3 linked regions of the Danio rerio genome follow. The protein of the gene in region 1 purifies or fractionates together with the protein of each later gene. This does not show direct contact. Links are inferred from orthologs where the notes say so. Each region holds a gene or a part of one and is shown on either strand. Other genes may lie near its edges.

What was found. The genes of interacting proteins can lie anywhere in the genome.
Region 2: the proteins of ap2s1 (region 1) and eps15l1a purify together in Homo sapiens (affinity purification with mass spectrometry; 4 studies listed by BioGRID and IntAct, counting the BioPlex papers as one, with this or other methods). This does not show direct contact. The link is inferred for Danio rerio from reciprocal best matches to the Homo sapiens genes AP2S1 and EPS15L1.
Region 3: the proteins of ap2s1 (region 1) and bmp2k purify together in Homo sapiens (affinity purification with mass spectrometry; 4 studies listed by BioGRID and IntAct, counting the BioPlex papers as one, with this or other methods). This does not show direct contact. The link is inferred for Danio rerio from reciprocal best matches to the Homo sapiens genes AP2S1 and BMP2K.

What each region holds. Positions count from the first base shown.
Region 1 is NC_133190.1:9,940,239-9,944,674, forward strand, and holds part of ap2s1 (AP-2 complex subunit sigma), read left to right. Parts: intron 1-1,623; coding exon 1,624-1,773; intron 1,774-4,436. UniProt on the Homo sapiens protein: Component of the adaptor protein complex 2 (AP-2). Adaptor protein complexes function in protein transport via transport vesicles in different membrane traffic pathways.
Region 2 is NC_133197.1:15,674,024-15,679,063, reverse strand, and holds the start of eps15l1a (epidermal growth factor receptor substrate 15-like 1), read left to right. Parts: upstream 1-1,688; 5' UTR 1,689-1,711; coding exon 1,712-1,738; intron 1,739-5,040.
Region 3 is NC_133180.1:40,002,618-40,007,646, forward strand, and holds the start of bmp2k (BMP-2-inducible protein kinase), read left to right. Parts: upstream 1-1,677; 5' UTR 1,678-2,065; coding exon 2,066-2,210; intron 2,211-5,029. UniProt on the Homo sapiens protein: May be involved in osteoblast differentiation.

The sequences.
Region 1 (4,436 bases):
AACAACAACGCGCGCAAATGTTGACTTTTTGTAAACAGTTTTGTTGTTTAAATATGATATTGCATTAATGTTCATACATGCTTTATAAGCTTTAAAATAAAAGGTAAAGCCTATTTGTTGCGTTTATGACGCAGATCCAGGTCAACATCAGTGCTTTTTTTGGCATCAACACGTCTGTTTCAAGCAATTTTCTTCTTCCATTTAGCTTCTTTGGCAAATGTGTCTGTAGGCACGGGTTATACGTTGTCGTCCCGCAAGTTAAGTATGTCTTGCAGTTGAACAAGTGGCCGACCACAGCTAACGTGGTTTTTTCATTCCAAAAACGCGAGGTGCACCTCACTGCCCTTATGTTGACAAGGAAAAAAGAAGAGAAGAAGCGCGGTCCTCTTATGAAACGACTGAATCAGCTGGGTATCGATTGTGCAAAAGTGTTGCTGTATATGTTGATAAAATTTTAATATTTAATAATATTATGATATTCAAGATTTGTACATTCATACAGCTCTGGATAACTTAAAACAGTGATTAGACCTTCAGAGCGGCAATAATGTGTCCTGAAGTAAAGCGAAACGGCTATAAACTCCAGCAAGATAGAGTGATTATATACAGAGCCATATACCTTTATCTATAAATAAAGTATAACTATAGAAACTGTGTTCATCTTAACTGAATGCAAAAAATACTTTTTAAACTTCATTTTAAGTCCAAAGAGAAAGGACTATTGTTTGTTTTTATTAATAATTTGCTTATATATTATTATTATTACCAAGCAGAAATAAACAAAACTTTAATATGAGGAGTTTCCAGGTGATTTTTTAAGCTAGTAGTGTTTTAAAATAAATAAATGCATAATATTTTTCAGAGATGGGTTGCGGCTTGAAGGGGATACGCTGTGTAGAGCATATGCTGGATAATTTTGTGGTTCATTCCACTGTGGCGACTTCGGATTAATAAAGGGGCTAAGCCGAAATGAATGAATGAAAAAATGCAAAATAATCGTGATAACCGTGTAACCGAGATTATTTCTCAGAGTAAAGTCGTTCAACCAAAGTCTAAAATCATATATATATAAATGGGTAAATATAGAAGAAGAAAATATGAAGTAAACACTAAAAGTCTCCCTTTTGAAATTCTAGTCAGCAGGTCCTGAAATGTTAAGGTTCTCAATGACAGACAGTATAGGACTTCATGTTTTGTTAAAGTTCAGTGATCCTTTAAAACAATGTCTCAGTTTATCTTCCAACCCCAACTGCACAAACATCAACACGCCATGTCATTGCCTTTACCTCCTTGTTCGCCAGGCACGCAATTCTCCTCAAATGGAAACTTATGTCCCCTCCATCATCAGAACACTGGATTAAAGAGGTTCTACATTGCATCTTTGCTGAGAAACATAAGCCATTATTTAATAGACTGTGAACGATGTTGTACTTTGATAGCCATTGGCTGCTAATATGGTTCGCTTATTTAGAATTTGCAAAGAATACTTTACTGAAATTATATTATCAAGGAAAAACTTTGAATATTTGCCAATATAAAACCAACTTTACCCCAATAAGGTTTATGTTTTATGCTTTACTGACTGATTTACAAAATTTTTATTATTTTACTGTTTATTTCCAGATCCGCTTTATCCTCATCCAGAATCGGGCTGGGAAGACCAGACTGGCCAAGTGGTACATGCAGTTTGATGACGATGAGAAGCAGAAGCTAATTGAAGAGGTGCATGCTGTAGTGACAGTCCGTGATGCCAAACACACCAACTTTGTTGAGGTACAACACTCGCTTTTAACATTTTTCTCAGGTCTTGGGTTAAAGTTAGTTTTATATTCACATAACATTGACAATTTGTGACACCCTTCCCCAAAACCGCTTGCAAAGTATGACTTCAAAGCATCATTATCTCTATTTAATTAACTGTGAACAATAATATACTTTGATCAGGGTTCATACGGTCATGGAAAACCTGGAAAAGTGATGGAATTTTGACATGACATTTTCAAGTCCTGGAAAAGTTTTGAAAAAATGGAAAAACCCACAAGGTTTTGGAAATGTCATGAAAATGTGTTTACCAATTACCTGTATACCTGCACGATATTGGAAAAATCTGACATTACCATATTTTGTATTTCTGTGATGTACATTGCGATGTGAATACAATTTCACTTGATGATTTAACAGGTTTATTTGGATTGATTGGGGGAATTTTGTAGGGGAGTGAATCTCGACTAATAAATAACAAATAAATTACAAGCATAGATAAATAAAATATAGTGAAGATATAGGTGAATTATAGGTTTCAGGTCTTCATTGTATATTATTTAAACTTTATTTACAAAATAGTTACAAAACATTTCAGTCACAGGCCTTAAAGGGATAGTTTACTCAAAGATTAAAATGTACTCACTATTTACTCGCACTTCACTTGTTTCAATACTATAGGAGTTATTAAATTGGATTCTTTTTGTGTTCATAAAAAAAAAAAAGAAAAAAAAGAAAACGCATAAATGTTTGAAACAAGTGATCGGTGTAATATAAATGGGAAGTAATTTTTGGGTGAACCATCTCTTTAAAAATGCATGCTGACGTACTGATGCTGAACTTTTACTCCATTATGTTTAAACTCTATATTAAACTTTAATCATTGCAACATTGCATATCCTGCCATGTGACTATAGTGGATGCACAAATTGCGATATCGATGCTGAATTGATACATTTTGCTGCCGTAACTTGAATTTAGGTTAGTTGTCTTTACTTCTTTACTATCCTTGGCCAAAAACTTGCTCTCACAATCTATCAATATGAAAACAAATGTAAACAAAATAGATGGTTGCGTGTTCTATGATGTGCTTTAATAAATTTTAACATCCTTGTTTTTCTTATTATTTCCCATGTACATGTTGACATTACATGAAACATTACGCCATGAAAATGTACTTGAAAGTACTGGAAAGTCATAGAATCCTGTTTGATGGAGTTTGACTGCTCATATGATTACCTTATTTAGAATTTGCAAAAGATACTTTTCTGAAATTATATTAAGAAGGTGAAAGTCCCGATGTGCGAATATAATACCAACTTTACCTTTATTTCTTAGGTCAGTGTGTGAGTCCATTACAGTTAACTACGTTGGTTGCAATGGTTTATCATGGTTTTTGGTTGACTGTTTCGTTATGGTATGTGCAAAGTTTACAAATGATGGCTGCAGACAAATTCAAAGAACAATAAACCTTTTTAAAATTTAAAATTTTTTACATTTTTGGCTATTTAGGCCATCTAAGTTTTTTGCAAGAAAATTGGCATTTGTTATTTGGGTGACTGTCTGAATTTACATTGAGTGTCTGCTGAAACACTAATGGCTGTCATGTTTTTTTGTCTCACCTGCACTTTTGCCGTTTATCTCCATCACTTGCCATGCTGAATGTTGAGAAACTCTATATTTACTTACTAAGAGGTGATTGGACAGGTCTTCACACATGCATGCAACATATGTGAAGTGTAAAGCTGGTTTTATACTTTTGCCTGGCGCACTTTTGATGACTGTGTGTGCATCTCACAAAATGGATAAGGCTTTTATACTTGCCGTGTTCGCTGTTGTGATACTCTTTAAAACGACAGGGTGGCGCCGAAAAGAAACCCACCAGTAAGACAGATTGATAAACAGAGAAGTGGAAAGTTTCCAGAATGACATCATATCGTTAATATAATACAACTTTTTAAATTATTTTTAGGATTTTTATAAGTTATTTAAATGATTATAAGGATTTTTATAACCATTCAAGATTTTTTTTAATCAAACTTTGATGCATCACTTGCTTTTGTTCATATCTTCGGCAGTTTTACCTATTAAAGTTTATTAAAATATTAATGACAACAGAACATGGGTTGCTATACAAATATATATTTTTATTATGTCAGGATTAAATGAAAAAAAGTACACTTACTAAAAAATACAGATGTTTTTCTTTAGATTTAGCCCACACCACAGTTCACACATTATTGTCTGTCTAGTTTCTGTCCTGTACTTATACTAAACAGGCAACAATGGTCCAACATCCCTGACCATTGTCATCAATAAAGCCTAGAAAAAACAGGCCATCAGTATGCTGTAACCGATAGGTTCAAATATTCCTTCCCAGTTATCAAAGAAATAATTTGTTCCTTAATTATAGTTTTGTAACTATTAAATTGTTTTCAGTTCAAAATTATAATATATACGTCAGTGTAAAACCTATGAATGGTGGAAAAGCATATTCTGCAAACTTGTACCTGGATCTTCACTTTTGCCATGGCCTCTTTTGGCTTTAATAAACTCTTCAGGTTTTTCCAAACTTTTTAACAAAAACTTTCCTCCTTTCACAGGGCTGTTGCAATTTCTAGCCAAGAATTAATTGATCATTAGGTTATTTCAAATTAAAAGCCCATTGTTCCACT
Region 2 (5,040 bases), on another chromosome or scaffold:
TAAATATCTAGAAATATAAATTATACTTATAAACTATTTAACATCGTATTCTATCATATTTTGCATGGTGAGAGTTAAACAAATACAATTTGAACATAAATGAATATTATTTGATATTCAATCAAATATTAATTCATTAATTCATTTTCTTGTCGGCTTAGTCCCTTTATTTATCCGGGGTCGCAACTTATCCAGCATGTTTTTACGCAGCGGATGCCCTTCCAGCCGCAACCCATCTCTGGGAAATTAATCAATCAAATATATTAAAATAATAATGTAATGTTATATAATAATAATATAACAAAATAAAATATCCTTCATGGAGCAATCCAGCAGTCAAATTGATAAAAGAAAAATATTTGTTTAAGATGTCAATGAATTTTAAAATAAAAAATTAACCATTTAAAATGTAGAAAAGAAGATTGAGTGATACAACAAACAGCAATATAAATAATATTTAAGTAAAAGTAGAAAGGGGTGACACAGTGGCACAGTAGGTAGTGCTGTCGCCTCACAGCACGAAGGTCGCTGGTTTAAGCCTTGGCTGGGTCAGTTGGCGTTTCTATGTGGAGTTTGCATGTTCTCCCTGTGTTTGCGTGGGTTTCCTCCAGGAGCTCCGGTTCCCCCACAGTCTAAAAACATGCGGTATAGGTAAATTGAGTGTGAATGAGTGAGGATGTTTCCCAGAGATAGGATCCAGCTGGAAGGGCTGCGTAAAAACCTTACGTGCTGGATAAGTTGGAGGTTCATTCCACTGTGGCAACCCCGGAATAATAAAAGGACTAAGCCGAAAAGAAAATGAGCGAATGAATAAAAGTAGAAAGGGTGCATTTCAGGACTTGGGACCCATGTATGGCTGGAATTGCTTAGGGCCCAAAAATCACTAAATCCACCCTTGGATATATGATACTTTCCTTTATCATACATATTTATATCATATATATATACTGCATCATCTATTTACTTTATTATAATACTACATAAAAGATAGTATACAGTTGAAGTCAGATATATTAACCCCCCTGATTGTTTATTTTTGTTTCCCCAATTTCTGTTAACGGAGAGCAGATTTTTTCAACATATTTCTAAACATAATAGTTTTCATAACTAATTTCTAATAACTGATTTATTTTATCTTTGTCATGATGACAGTAAATAATATTTTACTAGATATTTTGCAAGACATATCTAAAGTGACATTTAAAGGCTTAACTAGTTTAACTAGGCAGATTAGGATAATTAGACAAGTTATTATATATTATATATAATTTTTAACATTGTTATATATTAGTATAACAATGATTTGTTCTGTAGACAGTAGAAAAATATCTTAAAGGGGTTAATAAGTTTGTCCTTAAAATGTAAAAAAAAAAAAGCTTTTATTCTTGCCAAAATAAACAAATAATACTTTATCCAGAAGAAAAAAATATTATCAGACATATTGTGGAAATTTCCTTTTTCTGTTAAACATAATTTGGGAAATAGGCTGTTAAAAATTTAAAAAAAAAATTAAAAGGGGCTCATTTAAAGTCTTGTTTACTTTATAAATATTTTATAAGTACATTCATTTGTCAACACTGCAGGGCATATCTGAAATATAAAGTACAATAATAAAACACCTTCGACAAGAATATTCAACAATATTTTAATCCGCTCGTCTTCAGCCCCCCCTCATTCCCTCACCCGCCGTTTCCGCAGCAACAGGGAAAAGATGGCAGCCCTCGCGACCCTCACTCAGGTAATACCAGCTAAAATCACCCATTATACGCTAATAACAAGGAAAAAACATCCGCAAACAGAAACAGATCTAACAATTGCACACAAATCGACCACATTGCTTGCGCTACCGGGCCGTTTTACGAATATATACAGCGTAAATGTCACGGGCCTCGTTAATCGGGCTCAGATTGCTAACCGATTAGCTCGCTTTGTATCTCTTGTCTGCTACAAAATCCGCACATAACAACGTCGTTATCAATGAAATTTGCTATAAACATTCAACTGCAGGAACATATTAAGTTTACGGCCGTTTATATGAATGGGAAATACAGTAAAAAGGAGTTATACTATTGTAATAACAAGCTAGCCGCAATATTATCCGAACATCATTTACACTAAAACTAACTGTCAATGCGATTTACATACACAAATCATAATTGTAACGTAATCTGACTACAGTACAGTAATAACATTTGAGTAATAAAAGTTGATGAAATCTGCTGAATAGTGTTATTATGTAGATTTGTGGTGTGATGTATAAAAATGGGTGTTGAACCGCTAGTTTAGCATAGCGGTGATGGGTCAGTTATTACGAGCATCAGTAATCTCACTGTAACGTTACTTTTGATTTGTAACGGATTACTCTGTAACGTTAAGTGAAGTGAAATATGCATACAATATGTACATTTATGTATATGAGCAATTCCAGCGTTATGCTTGTGACATTTGGAGTAAAAACTCAACACATAAATTCACAGAGAAAGTAGATGTTAACAATATATTGAAACAACTGTTTTTATATTTTTAAAACAACTGACCACAGAGTTATGGCAAATATCAATCTGTAAACATTTTTTATATTTCAAATGAGGAAAATGAACATGCGTTATAGATGTGACAAAAATTTTACAGTATAGAGTTTACAGTATACAACAAACTTTGTAGAAATTCTGTGAAATAAACTGCACAACCCAAAATAAATTATACTAATCAAAAGGATCTAAAAAGATCTCACTATAGAACAAACATAATTTATTTTATTTATTTGACATTTCTGCATTTATCAGGGAAAAGCTCTGTTATTATGGATGTGACAGATGTGAAATTGCCACTTGTGTGCTTTTGGTAAATCAAATATAAATGTTTGAAAACATTCGCAGAGACATTTTTGAGCATTTTTATAGTACTTTAAAATACAATCCTACACAAAAAATGTAGGAACGTTTTCTCTATTTGAAAACTTAAATTTTTTCTTGGCAAGGTTGACATTTGCATGGAATTGCTCATATATTTACAAAGATGTATGCGTATATCTGTTATTTTAGTATTACTCATGTACTGAATTGTTGCTATTACTACTTTAATTGTCATTCCTTTTTTATTGCAGTTTAAGTTTTGATAGTAATTATGTATTTTTTGTGACTACTTCTTAAATGTTATTTCTGATGTTGTAATGACTTAATTTCACATTTTCATGTTTGGTTACACTATTTTAACGTGTCCTTGTTACATTGTAACTCCAACTACTGAGGAGGAATATTAATTAATGACATGTACTTGCTTTAGCTACGTCCCAAATGACACACTATACACTATGCACTTATGCACTATGTTCTTATGCACTTACACACTTAACAGCATTCAAACCGGGCTGTTTTACCGATATTTACAGTGCAAATGTTACGGGTCTTGTTAATCGGATTTAGATTGCTAACTGATTAGTTCGCTTTGTATCTCACTTCAGCAAAAAATACCCACATAACATCTATGTTATCAATGAAATTTGCGATAAACATTCAGCTGCAAGAACATTTAAAGTTTATATCTGTTTATATGAATGGGAAATACAGTAAAAAACAGTTATACTAATGTAATAACAAGCTAGCCGCAATATTATCTGAACATCATTTACACTAAAACTAACTGTCAAGGTGATTTACATACACAAATCTTCATTATATTGGAATATGTGGATAGAACAGTAATACAGGTTGATGACTTTTGTTGAATAATGGTATTATGCAGATATGTGGTGCGTTGTATTAAAATGGGTGTTGTTATGAGTTTAAGATGTTTAAGTGGGATGCTGTAACATTTAGGTGAGACAGGTGTAATGTGTGCGACAGATGAAGGATGAGGCAGGAATCAATTCAGTATTTAAGCTTTTTTTTACTCAATAGTTTAAACAATGTGTAACAATAATAAATGAAAAAAGTATCAAACATTTTCAATTATTCTCTTTAAACAAAAACAACGAGTGTAAGCCAAATCAAAGAAATGAACAAAACAAAACAATTCTCCTTAAATCTAAAGTACTAGGCGTCAAAAAAGAAGTAATGAAAATAAAAACTGAGATCTTGTACACGACACCCGAACTAAACTAAATAAACTACAAAACTCAAAATTACACTGGTGGAAAACACTCAAACTAATCTTACAAAAATCCATCTAAACTAAAACAAACCTAACAAGACGGTTAAAGACTCAGTTTAGAATCGCACAACAACCAGTACATTATTTTACTCAAAGCCAACGAAGTTCAACAAGCAAACTCGAATTACTACAGTAAACTGAGATAATGAATCACTAAACAGATTAAGCATGTCAAAAACAAATTGTGTGGAGCACAAAAGGTATTCCGAGGCAGAACGCACACCACATACTGGTCTGTTGAGGCTTTAAATGCTTGCGGCTTGTCCGGAGATTGGTGGAACCGACACAACAAGGGTTGAGTAAGAAGCGGAGAGGGTGAGAAAAATAAATACACAAAGAAAAAAACTAACATCAACATGGGTCAGTTATTACCAGCATCAGTAATCTCACTGTATGTAAATGTATCTAAAAATTTACAAAGATGTGTATAAATGTGTATATCTGTTATTTTAGGATTACTCATGTACCTATTTGTTGCTATTACTACTTTTAATTTTTCATTGATTTTTCTTTTTTGTTGCAGTTTAGGTTTTGATAATAGTTATGTACTTTTTGTGACTACTTTTTAAATGTTTTTTCTGATAATGCCATGGCGTAATTTTCCATTTTCATTTTTGGTTACTCTATTTTAAGGTGTCCTTGTTACATTGTAACTCCAACTACTAAGGAAGAATATTAAATTGACATAAGCACCGAAACCTCCCCCTTTCCATTATGTGGGCAAAGCTGCGGTTGTTAAGTGCGTGAAGTGTCCATCATTCCACACTTCATATTACCGGTTGAATAAGTGCATCATCCGGATAATTAAAGTGCACTTATGATTTTTAGAGTTTTCAATGTGAATGCACTTCTTGCACTATTTATACTACAAAATGCCATAGAATAGTG
Region 3 (5,029 bases), on another chromosome or scaffold:
TATTAGAGGGCAGGACATTTTAACAATCTGAGTAACAGATGTACCTGAAGATCCTCAAATGGTCTTATGTTGTCTGCTCAGACTGGTTATTATCACGTGGCTGTCTCAATCTGATGTAATCTCTGTCAATATTGTGTTAAATAATAGGCATATGTGTGAAATTTTCCCCAAAACTTGTTTGAAAATGACAACAATAGTCATCTTTAATCTTTTCTTAAATTAGTAAAACATTGACAGTTAAAGGAGGTGCTTATAAATTATTTCACAATAACAGACATTTATTAAATATATTGAAAATAAACTGAAATGTAATAAAGATGCGGAATGAATCAATGAATTAACATTTACACTAAATACGATTTTACTCAGTAGAGACCATGGGACAAAATGGCTTGCTTATTAATTAGTTTGCTTTCTATTAATTATTCATTCATTTTCTATTCGGCTTAGTCCCTTTATTAATCCGGGGTCGCCACAGCGGAATGAACTGCCAACTTATCCAGCATATGTTTTACACAGCGGATGCCCTTCCAGCTGCAACCCATCCCTGGGGAAAACTATTAAGTATGATTTCTTAATAATTAATTAGCTTTTAATTATAATAATAATACATTTTATTTATAACACGCTTTTTTAAAACCCAAAGCGTCTACAATAAAGTAAAGACATTAAAAAATACAATAAAAACACAGTAAGAATAAAGGGGATATCACAAATTTTAAAAAAAGTCCTAAAAAGATGAGTTTTAGGTAGCCTAAAACAGTCCAAGTAACCAGTATTCCTAATTCCTTTTAGATTAATTTAAACGTTCGAAACTACAGGACAATTTATTTAATATTTAAAAAATATATATTGTCATGCAACCAAACTGTAAAGGACCATTTGAACTCTAAATTCACCATTTTAGTAATGCGTTCAGAGATGTTAATCGATGTGTAATTTCTGTTTACATTAAATCCCCGTTTTAAGAACAATCTGTTTTTAATATTAGATAGAAATCTATCCAATCATTCTAAAAAAACACACTAGGACACAAAAGAGGAAAGTGGCAGTCAGCTCTCCACACTCTCCCAAACCACCCATTCACATCTTTCACCGACTGCACGATCTTCAAACTGCTGAACAAAACGCAGGCAGAGACAGTCACCCAGGCCGCCCCATCAGAGCAGAGCATCTGCAGGACGCGCCTCGCTCACACCAATCATGACAATGGGAAGGAAACGGACAAAAGCAAAGTTAGGTTGTCAGACAGGCGGATTGGGCAATAACAAACCTCCCACTAAATCTACGGCGAGTCACGAGAGTTCCAACTTTATCAGTGTGACGGGGGACTTCCAGAACACGAGGAAGAAGCGCGCCGCCCGCCCGCCGTGCACACGGTAACCGACGCTAGCCGCGAAAACACCCCGAACGCGCTGCTGCGCCGAGGACTGCGGGATTATTTTTGCAGTCGCGTGCTTTACTATGAAACGCGGTGTCCTCCTCAAGCAGATAGAGGAAGCCAGTCAGCTAGCGAGCTGGCTAACTGAACTATCCAAAGGGGAAGTGGCAGCAACCATCGTTTAAGAGTTTCGCTAGCGTAGCTTCCGCCCAACACACCCACTTTCAGTCTGCTTGTTGTTCGCGTTGGTTTCAAATAACCGGGACTTTAACCAACTTCGGCTTTCCACATAAAGCATGCGTGTGCTGAACGGAGCGTTTCGCTGTTGTTAGCCAGCTAGCGAGGCAAATGGTCTCTCTGGCTCTCGCAAAGGCTCGCTAGCCAGCCGAGACTGGAGTCGGCCTGGAAACACAGCGGTCGTGCTCGTGTTGTTGTCACTCATTAACGACAAAACGCTTTACTTCTATGCTGTTGCTTCGCCTGGCTTTTGGGGGAAATAAGGAAGCATTCAGCGACGCCTTTCTGCGTCCCTCGAGCGCTGAAGTGCCTGGCGCATCTTGGGAGAGCAGATCTCTCAGCATGCTGGACAAAAGAGCTGAGATCATGAGCAGACTGGAGTTTTAATCGTCTTTGGCTCGTTTGGAACTGTCCGTTTTGGGGAAGGCGGGAAAATTAGAGGCAAGAATGAAGAAGTTTTCGCGAATGCCGAAGTCTGAGAGCGGAAGTCTCGGGGGTGGGTCTGGATCTGGTACTGGAAGCAGCAACTACATTGGGAAGGTGTTTGCTGTCGGTCGATACCAAGTGACTGTGGAGGAGCTTATCGCTGAAGGTAAATGCATGCACTGGATTTAGGCCAAAGAAAAGATTATGGTCAGACTTTTGCTACTGATGAAATTTGTAGGAGCCCCTCGGATATTTTCCATAGCATCATAAGCAGTTCAAGAGGGGCTAGATGTATATGCAAACATGATGTTTACGTTAGGTTGCAGCTCATCATCACATCAACAATGATCTTTCTCATAAAGTACTTCCCTAAATCTAATGTCATTTGTTGTCTGTGTCACTGTTAATAATCACATGGTTTTGGATCAGGAGGTCTGGGCTCTTCCTGAACTTGATCTCATGTTTGTCAAACCAGAAAAAAAGAAATCCTGTGTCTTTTATCTTGTCCTCACTATAGATTTAGTAAAACCTCAGGCCTTTTTCAAAGATTAAATTGTTTTATTGCCTTGCGATTACTACTCTTGGCCTTGGCACAGGTAGTAAAACAGTTTATCATCACACATACAGTTAAAGTCAGAATTGTTAGCCACCCTGTTTATTTTTTCCCAATTTTACGGAGAGAAGATTTTTTAGAAACACATTTGTAAACATAGCTTTAATAACTCATCTCTAATAACTGATTTATTTTATCTTTGCAATGATGACAGTACATAATATCTTATTAGATATTTTTCAAGACACTTCTATACAGCTTTAAGTGACATTTAAAAGATTAACTAACTTGTTCTGTAGACTATCGAAAAAAAAGGGGTTAAAGGGGCTAATAATTTTGACCTTAAAATGGTGTTTTAAAAAATTAAAAACTGCTTTTATTCTAGCCGAAATAAAACAAATAAGACTTTCTCCAGAAGAAAAAAATATTATCAACCATACTGTGAAAATTTCCAGAATCTGTTCATCATCATTTGTGTAATATTAAAAAAAATAAATAAATTAAAGGAGGGCTAATAATTTTGACTCCAACTGAAAGCCATGTTATCCCCATACAATTCAGAGAACTGCTTCTTTTTGATTTAACAGTTGCTCACTTAGCAGATTGAAGCAGCTTATTTTGATGATAAACTCTACTGAAGAGTTATAAACATTGTAAGAACCAACTTGGTACACACTTTATGAAATGACACTTTTAAGTAGTCCAGTAAATCCCCGTCTTTAGTGTATTTTAGTGTTTTATTTATGTGTGTGCCATCTAAAACACTCATAATTCTGTCATCTATTGCGTTTTAAAATACTAGTGTGTTTGTTTGTTTCCTGTGCAAATGTTTTTAGTTCTGCGAGTTTCACTGAACAGCAACTTGGCAGCCATCAACTTGCTGACTGGACACAATTATTTAATTTGCCATGAGTGCAAAAGTTCGCCCTCACAAACAACTGTTGGTCTTGAAAAATGTTTTTATTCTTTTCCTTGTTTTGGGGTTATTCATTGTTTATTGAGCTAAATGGTTTTGATCACTTTTTGGTAATTTAACAGTGTTTCATGTAATTTAAAGGAAAGAAAATATCTTAAAATATATAATATTATACAAAAACATGTTGTCTTCATCTTCCAGCAATGATTACTGCCCAAATATACTTTATTTGTTGCATATTTTAAGTTTGTGTACAGATATATTTAAAGCTAGGTTTGTTTGTTTTCTGATTATAATGATAATTTGACACTTCTAAAGAGATTTACCCCAAAATCTAAATTCTGTCATTCACTCGCTCTCATTTCATTTAAACTCGCTTTAAAAATAAATTTAGAATTTACACTTCGATGACGCAGTGGCGCAGTAGGTAGTGCTGTCGCCTCACAGCAAGAAGGTCGCTGGTTCGAGTCTTGGCTGGGTCAGTTGGCATTTCTGTGTGTAGTTTGCATGTTCTCTTTTTACCATCTACGACTTGTGGCAAAAGTAAAGTCGTTTCTCTCTTTTAATGACCTTGAGAAGGTGATCCATGCTTTTATTCTGGGAAGACTTGACTATTGTAATTCTCTGTATGTGGGTATTAGTCAAAATGCCCTAAACAGATTGCAATTAGTACAAAATGCAGCTGCGAGACTTCTGACAGGGACTCGCATGTTTGAGCACATATCCCCAGTTCTTTCCTCTCTGGGCTGGCTGCCTGTTAGGTCAAGAATTGATTTTAAACTATTAATCTTTGTTTTTAAATCCTTAAACAATCTGGCACCATCATACTTATCAGACCTGCTACACGTATACAATCCAGGTAGGTCACTGAGGTCTTCTGATGAATTTATTCTATCTGTACCAAGGTCCCGGTGTAAGCGAAGTGGGGATCGGGCTTTTGCTGTTGTCGCCCCAAAACTCTGGAACGGGCTTCGGCCCCACATCAGACATGCTCCAACTCTACCTGTTTTTAAAAAGTGTTTGAAACACCATCTTTGTTCCTTAGTATTTGAGCCTTTTTAATGTTGAGGGATTTGCCTTATGTTTTAATTGTTATTTATGTGATGTAGATTTCATGTTTAGTATTGATTGTGTTCAGCAGTTTGGGCAACGTTGTGTTGTAAAAAATGTGCTATATAAATAAACTAAACTAAACTAAACTCCAGGTGCTACGGTTTCACTCACAGTCCAAAGACGTGGTATAGGTGAATCGGGAATGCTAAAATTGTCTGTAGTGTATGAGTGTAAATAGATGTTTCCCAGAGATGGGTTGCGACTGGAAGGGCATCCGCTGCATAAAACGTGCTGGATAAGTTGGCAGTTCATTCCACTGTGGCGACCCCGGATTAATAAAGGAACTAAGCCGAAAAGAAAATGAATAAATGAATGAATGAATGAATTTACAATTCTATTAAACATGGAAATCTGTGACCTCAAAGCACGCAAACTAACTTCTTCTAAGTTACCTAGCTCAAAG